Linked DNA regions of Caenorhabditis elegans. The protein of the gene in region 1 purifies or fractionates together with the protein of each later gene. This does not show direct contact. Each region holds a gene or a part of one and is shown on either strand. Other genes may lie near its edges. The genes, in order: F37A4.5 and T14B4.3.

Region 1 (4,067 bases):
AACATAAGTTTCATGTGAGAGTCCAGGAATATGACATTTTCTTGTGAATCAATCAGAAATTTTCAATTTACCTTGTTTTTCTCCGGCTCCACTAGCCACAAAGAATACAACAAAAGTTGAAAATATAGCGTGACAAAGCTTCATGCGAATCTCTTATTTATTTCCTTCCTAGTACACGTCTCACTTTGAATACCGACACTGAAGCACATTTTGCCAAATCATGCTGAAACTGGTTTGGTATAACTTACGGATCTCCTCGGATGCTTTCTGTGAAGCTGTTGAAAATCTGAATTGATTGTGAAGTCTAAATGTAGCAAAAACAAGAGAACAAGGTTAGTAGGTTATTGGAACACGTAAATGGTAACCTCGGAAGGAAGTTCTATATTTTTCACGGGTTTTATGTTTTGTTTTTGATAAGAACTTTATCTATGAAAGTGCCCATTCTTTGCAGTAGGCACAAAAATTCCTGACTTCCGTCAAGGCTACGTATGCCTACCTGCCTACCACACAAACAGGTTCTTCAAATGTGTAATTGCACTGCCAACAAACTATACAATTAATATCTGTACTGGGCGAACATGGAACACCGAAATTCAGCTGAATCGAGAAAATAGGTAGTAAGTAGGCAGATGAGGAGGGCAGTCAGATAAGATCTGTACAATGATTCTATTTATTGATTTGAATGTGATATGGAAATGGGAAGAACGTCATTCAGAAACACAATTTAAATTGTTGCTAGTTCATGTCATTGATTTTGCGTTGATCATTGCAGTAAGCTGATGGCAGAGGGAATCGTTGAGAAGGCTAGAAGTGATCTGAAATTAAAACATTTTTTCACTGTACGTTTATTCGATTTTTACCATTTGCAATTGCTGTTTTGCATTGATTTTTCCAAACTTTTTGACTTCTTCTTGAGTCTTTCCTTTCTTATCTGCAATTGGTTTCTCCTTAACTTCGTCAATATCCTTATTGAAGACTGCAATCAGTTTGTTGATGCTCTTGAACTTCTCCTCCTGCTTCTTCTCAAGCTCCGAGTAAGTTGACATATTCAATTGATCATACCAACTCTTCTTATTCAAACACATCAACATCTTCTGCTCATTCGACCCCATGCGATAGGCGACATTCAACGAATAGTACTTGGTGCCAAGACCATGAACAACAGAGATTAGCGATGGCTTAGTGAGATGTCCAAGATTGGAAGTAGTCTGTCGTGGTTCAGCAGTTGGAGCGAGAGGACGAATTTGCAAGTTGAGTGGGTTTACAGATCGGAATGCGTCCAGCATAACTTTCCCCTTCACACTCTGAATCGGATCAACGACAACTGCAACAGCACGGGGATGGAGAGCTTCGAAAGACTGTTGAGTGTTTACGTCCACAGAAGATAGCCAGCATCCGAATCCTGGATGCGAATGGTACCTGAAAGTTGTTATATAATTTCAATAGAGGCTTTGATTATAAAAACTGAAAACTATATCTGCTGCGTCGTAGATTCTAAAAGATTGCCTATATTCTTGGGTCCCCTTTACTCACCATCCAACAACATTTTCAGTTCTTCCAACCAATTTCAGCAAGTCCATATGCTTTGTCTGATACACAGGATCCACCGATTCCACGGTCACACTGGTTCCACTCTGCGGCATTGCAAAAACGTCCGTAACATTGATAGTGTAGTCGTCCACAAAGTCTCCGAGCATCAGACCCATCACCTCCAACGGGATTCCAGAACGAGCATGGCGCAGCATTTTCAGCAAAGCCAACGAGGAAATGTTCACTCTGAAATTTCAACAAATTCTGGAATCCATAAAAAATTTAAACTTACGTTTCAGAAGTGTCCGGATGATCAAGTTTATCAGTTGCCTGCTTGTTCTGATTCATCAACAACGAACGGATAAGACGATCCATTTTTTTCAGAAATTTCTATTCTATTGAGCACGAACAAAAAAATCGAAAGCAACATGCGAAGCAGAATATGTTAATAAAAGAGTTTCGGAAGAAGTCTCGGCGTTGCCACGTGGATGACGTGGGTCGGAAGAGTGTGTGGCAAAGGTCACGCGAGAACTATTTTCCGCGTGAAATGTTTTTTGTTGTGTTTTTGAGAAGCATGAAATTCTTACACAGGAGAATTTTCAGTTAATTTATTTTACAAAAAAACAAAGCAAGTAACAATTATTAAAAAAAATAAACAAATCAACATCGTTCCAAGATCCCAACGTCTCCAATCCACTTCCCGTCATCTAGCTTAACAAGAAGACTAGTCTTAAGACTTACACAGTCTACTCCAGTGACCACATGCTTTCCAACGAATGTGAGTACATTCACTGACATGATAATCAAAGTATTATAGGTCATAACAATAAGAGAAAAGTTCAAAAGTTCTAGAAGAATTAATGTAATTTCTCTCAACTTTTGTTGGTTTGGATTTTCAAATACTTTCATAGGAAAGAAGAAAATGAATATGACGAGAAACGTGTAGAACGCAGTAATTAGAGTTGATTTCGAGAAGGCCAATGAATTAGAAAAACGCCTATCTGTTGAAACTGAGAGTTGGAGGTTATGATGAGGCTGGAGAATTCCCAAAGCTGTAGTGTAGGAGAGTATTGATAATGGATACAAGGTACAAAGCAGGTAGATCTGAAAATAATTATTGATAGTAGGTCACAAGCTTCCAAATTCTCTCTCGTTTGAAAATGAATGGCCGTAAAAAGCGTCGAAGACGGCCATGTGTAGATTTTAAGAACTTTAGGCAAAACCCTTCTGAAAAGTGCATGAAACTATAATAGGGTACTTTGATTTTTGGCTTACCGCACTATAATTAAGAAATAAATTATGATTTTAATTCAAAACTCAAAAAGAATTCTCAAAAGTAGTGAAAATGAGGAGTTTAGACCACAAATTCTCAACAAAAAGTATAACTTCTCCTCGAGGAGTACACAGCCTGCGTAAATCGACATATAGCCTTGTTGAAGGTTCAAACGCTTTCTAGGGATGTATATCAAACAAAACAATTATTCTGACTCACAGATTTATAAAAAGTTGTGCTCACCACCACAAAAATAATTACTAAATTTACAATTACTGCTCCCACGTGACTTGCGATAAACTTCCATGGTTTTTGTCTAATTTTTGTCAATCCAAAATGAACAAGGCAGTGTGGAATGTAAAAAGGAACAAAATGAAGTAGAAAGTATATCGGAATTAGATATGTTGGAACAATTTTCTTTAATTCAAAAATGTCATAGGATAAAAATGCGGTGAGCAATGCTTATTATTATCTGTTATTATTATCTGTTATGCTCACTGAGCATAACAGATAATAAGGCGCAAAATAGTGGAAGCCGATGGAAACATCGTTGACGAAGTGTGGCAGCCATTTTTGAATTTGTAAATATTGTTCTTCTGCGAATTAAGTGAGGGGCTGACATTTATCGATTGACTTTCTGATTTATCGATTTACAATTCAAAGCATCCTTCTTTTTCTCATAGATTTGAAATACGGGGTCAGCATAAAGAAACAGCTTGTTTTTGTACAACTTTTTATTCTCGAATAAAACTTTTCAATGAGTTCTTTAAACTGATTACTGTAGAAATCCGGCAAGCATCTATTTTTAAAATTCGCGCGCATTTATTAGTTTTCTGTGTATTTGCGCGTCGCCGTGTCTGCGTATCCACTGAGAACCGCGAAAATGCTGTTCAATTTCTGGTTGCCTCATTTTCGCGCGCTGGTTACCTTTTTCACACGTTTTTGTTAGAATTATCGGTTTGTTCGATTATAAATGTTTTCTTTATCAAACCTGTAAACGCCCGAGGTAATTTGTACAGTTGTTAATTGGTGATTGTCACAGAAAATGTCGGTTCACGAGTCTTCGAACGAAATAAATGACGAGCCTATGGACACCGATTCCAACATCCCGGAGGTAAATAATTTTTTGATGTACATAGGTTTTGCGTTTTATTAAAGATATTTTTTACATTCTTCACATAAAACAATACATTACATTCTACGTTTCAGTCTTCCGGGAACGATCCCTCAATGGAAGTGGACGATGAACCGGAATCGTCCGACG
Region 2 (3,832 bases), on another chromosome or scaffold:
ATAAAAGTTTTCCCCACTTGCATCAGTATAAAATAATCCCAATCCGGTAATTTTACCATCTTCTCCATGCATTTGTAGTGTGCTAAATTCATATTATGACCCGCTGAATCTATTCGAAGTTCTTCTGAAACTCTAGTTAATTTAAATTATACATATATTCAATCAGTATACCATCTATTACAAATACATTTGGAAGACATCTACCAAGTCTCCTAATTCTCCATTTAAAATCATCTTTGCTTTTTGAATCAATGAAAAAGCAAAATATATTCTGTGGATGATATGACATTTGTACTTGTTTCTCCAAAAATTCATAGTCTTTATAGACAACTCGTGCAAATACAACACCAATTTTCAACGGCCTCAAATGAAAATTGAATGGAATAATTCGATTTTGAATTGAATAACATGACATATCTAAACTCTCCAAATTTGAGCTCAGGGGTATTCGATGCTCACCAATAAACTTTTCGATATAAGACTGAAATTTTATGTTTTTGGGTTATTTTTTAAACATTTAAATATTTAAAATTACTAACTCTATCATTTGCCAAAATTCTTCCACAATCCAAATGAGCTGTCTCTTTGCGTCTCCATAATATATTAGTTTCCTTTGAAGTCCAAAAACTCATTGTTATTCTAGGTGCCATTGAAAAGATCACAATTGTACAAACAAGCATTGTGAGTAATAAGAAGAAGAAGGTCCTGGAGTATTTGGAGCACATTTTGGAGAAAACGGAAAAGAATGGATGACAGATGGAAATGAAAAGAGAAAGAATGAAGAACCAGAGCAGACATTGGAAAGAATCCAAACATTTCATTCATTTCAAAACATTTACATCCACTTGGGTCTCACACTTTCTTTTTTTGATCTTCAAAAGTTGAGGGTTCTTGAGGGTTATAAATTAGTATTCAAATATTTATTTTTGTTTGTTAAAATTGTTTTTTTTTGTTGTTTGATCGAGAAAAGTACAGTCATATTTACAGATGGTAATTTGTTTAAATGGATACCTTCGCATTGCAGAAAACAAACTAAACAATTACCGTTTTTGAATTCTGGAAAAAATAAAAAATTGCTCTCATTTTCCTATTTGTGAAGGCATTATTCCTTGTTTAAAGTTACATTTTTCATAAATCTATTTGTAATATTTAGAATCGAGGAAATAGTTTTGAATCTTCTCATCTTTTATCTATCTATCAAATTGGTAGTTACCAGTAAATCGAATAGCCTTGAACTATAAAACTGGTAATTCTTAATAAGGAAACTAAAAGGTATTCATCCTTATATTTATCTAAGATTTTACTTCCCTCCGTTTAATTCAATTTTTTTCAAAAAGTCACCTTTTCAATAGCCGCATCAATTGTGCAATAGGTTCAACAGACAATATAGTTTGATTGGATAACAATTTGTACCGGAACAAACTGAGAAGATAACCCTATCATATTGGATTGACCCACCCTTTTTATCAACAAGCAAGTGAAGGAAATTTATTGCATGTTCGTTTTGAAGGAAAATATTCATTGCTACAAGTTATTTTTATCACAATCAGTGAATAAAATTAAAAAAAGATATGTATTAATTTTTTAAGCAAAAATATACTTCAAAATTCAATTTCATTATCATTTCTGCGCGCGGAACCAAAAAATTTGACAGTTTTCTTCAAAACCCAATAAATATCTGCCTTTAATATTTTTGTATACATAGATGAAAACTTTATCAATAAAAGTTTTGGCAAAAAAATACAGTAACCAATGCTGATGAAATCAACTTCCACGGAGTTTCAAGTTCTCTTGGTTTGTGGTGTCTCAACGAGAAAAGCAAACGCGCTCCATTGTTACAGAAAAATTGTGAGTTTTTTATTTCTCATTTTTGCTTCTTTTCAAGCCAAAAATGCGAAGTTTTATATGGATTTTATCATTTTTACAAGGTAATTTCTTATTTATTTTTTGCAAAAAACTTCAATTTCAGTTTGCCTTGCCGGGCGTCTTCAAATCATTTTGCCAAACGACCACATACTTGATTCGAGAAATTCGTCTTTCGATTCAGTTTCATTATTAAATTTCAACAAGAATGCTTTTGGACTTGGTGCTGCAGTTGGAGGTAGGTAACATTTTATTAATATAAAATGTTTTATTGCCTTATTTCAGCTCATCAGGCGATCGGCGATGAAAAATTGTTCCAAAAACCGAAGGCGTTGTTGATAATCGTTATTGACGGACTGGAAAACTTTGATTATGACGGACATGCTTTCAATTTTACGGATAAATTCCAGCCAAATCAAATTCAAGAACATTTCAAACAACAGTTTGGTGATGATATGATTCACGCCGAAGTAAACTCCTCTGGAATATTTGGATCATCGTTGTTTAAAAGAAATACTGAGGGAAACCATGCTAATTACGATACTTATAAGGAGGATCTTCAAAATATGTATCGACTTTCGGATGCAATCATGGAGAAAGATCGAAAAAATGCCAATGTTGTTGACTACTACCGTGTTCACCTTGACGTCTCCAATGCGCGAACAGATATGGAAAGAAAACAATTGGCAGAAAATATCAAGCGAGGTATTGATACATTACAAGATGCTATCAAGAACAGTTATGGCGGGAATGTGGTGGCTGAAATCTATACTCACGAGAAGCCTGATAGAGATGAGAAGGCTAGAATTAAGCTGTTACAAAAAGTATTGCAAGTGACTCAAGCTAGATATATCGATTATCCGGCAAGTGCGGCCATTATGATGTTTGTGGGATTCTCCCTTGTCTTCGTAAGTCCCATGTTAATTCATTCTTTCTAATAAAAAATTAACTTCAGGCGGCAGTTGCGATGTTGTGGTTGATGTTTGATGAAAGTGATATGGCCAAGAAAACGATCCTGGTTCGACTATCGATGGGTAGACAGAAGAAAGATTAGAATTAGATTTATAAATGATTGTAAAAACTGTATTTTCATAATTTATTTCGCTTTACGGCTTTACGGTTCTTTTTTTTGCATTTTTGACTAATCGCTTTCCGGTATTTGTTGCCATGTCATAAAGACTTCAGCTTTATGCATTTGAAACACTATCAGTGTATCAGGTTCTAAACCTTAAGATATCTCATTTTTAAATTTATCAATGCAATCCAACAGTATCAATTCAGAATGCTAAAATCGGCGTCATCGTTGGTGCGAAGTTTCATAAGGCCGCAGACATTCAGGTTATGTAGCTCCAGTTCAACCACGCAGGGATCTCCTTCGGTTAGCTCTGACGATGAGCCCGTAATTTTGGAGAATAATCCATACACAAAAGAGCCACGGAAGTGCCTCTTGTGCTCAACTGGTGTTGAACTCGATTACAAAAATTCGAGACTTTTGCAGGTACGAAATGTTTTAAACTGGAGCTCGGTAAAATCCAATTCTTTTTTTCAGCAATTTGTTTCCACATTCTCTGGGCGTGTATACGATCGTCACATCACTGGACTTTGCGACGAGAACAAGAAGAAGCTGATTGAAGCAATCGCGGTATGATGAACTGGAATAGAGTTAGATAAACGATATTCTTTATTCAGAAATCGCGTCGTGCCGGGTTCATGCCAATCTTCGTAAAGGATCCAAAGTACACCAGAGACCCGAAATTGTTCGACCCGCTCAAACCAATTCGACCACATTCGTTTGCTTAAAATATTTTGTTTTTTTAAAATTACTATTACTGTTTGTTTTTATTTTTAGAATATAAAATTTTCTCTAGACAATCTGTTTCTGTGAATAGTCATCAAGTTAGTGGATACTCCTGCCCACTTTAATACCGCTGGTGATACTAATTAGTAAAATTTTATTTTACTTAAAATT

Evidence for each region.
Region 2: the proteins of F37A4.5 (region 1) and T14B4.3 fractionate together in Caenorhabditis elegans (co-fractionation; one large-scale study listed by BioGRID). This does not show direct contact.

Annotation. Positions count from the first base shown.
Region 1 is NC_003281.10:6,709,782-6,713,848, reverse strand, and holds F37A4.5 (Mov34/MPN/PAD-1 family protein), read right to left. Parts: upstream 1,981-4,067; 5' UTR 1,906-1,980; coding exon 1,823-1,905; intron 1,777-1,822; coding exon 1,534-1,776; intron 1,420-1,533; coding exon 861-1,419; intron 816-860; coding exon 741-815; 3' UTR 658-740; downstream 1-657. Other genes in the region: Ankyrin repeat-containing protein F37A4.4, read right to left, coding at 72-144; Chromatin-remodeling complex ATPase chain isw-1, read left to right, coding at 3,849-3,917, 4,013-4,067.
Region 2 is NC_003280.10:6,733,059-6,736,890, forward strand, and holds T14B4.3 (VWFA domain-containing protein), read left to right. Parts: upstream 1-1,878; 5' UTR 1,879-1,891; coding exon 1,892-1,928; intron 1,929-1,969; coding exon 1,970-2,101; intron 2,102-2,148; coding exon 2,149-2,771; intron 2,772-2,818; coding exon 2,819-2,917; 3' UTR 2,918-3,052; downstream 3,053-3,832. Other genes in the region: T14B4.9 (Core-2/I-Branching enzyme), read right to left, coding at 18-124, 172-481, 540-725; mrps-18.C (28S ribosomal protein S18c, mitochondrial), read left to right, coding at 3,146-3,361, 3,413-3,505, 3,553-3,663.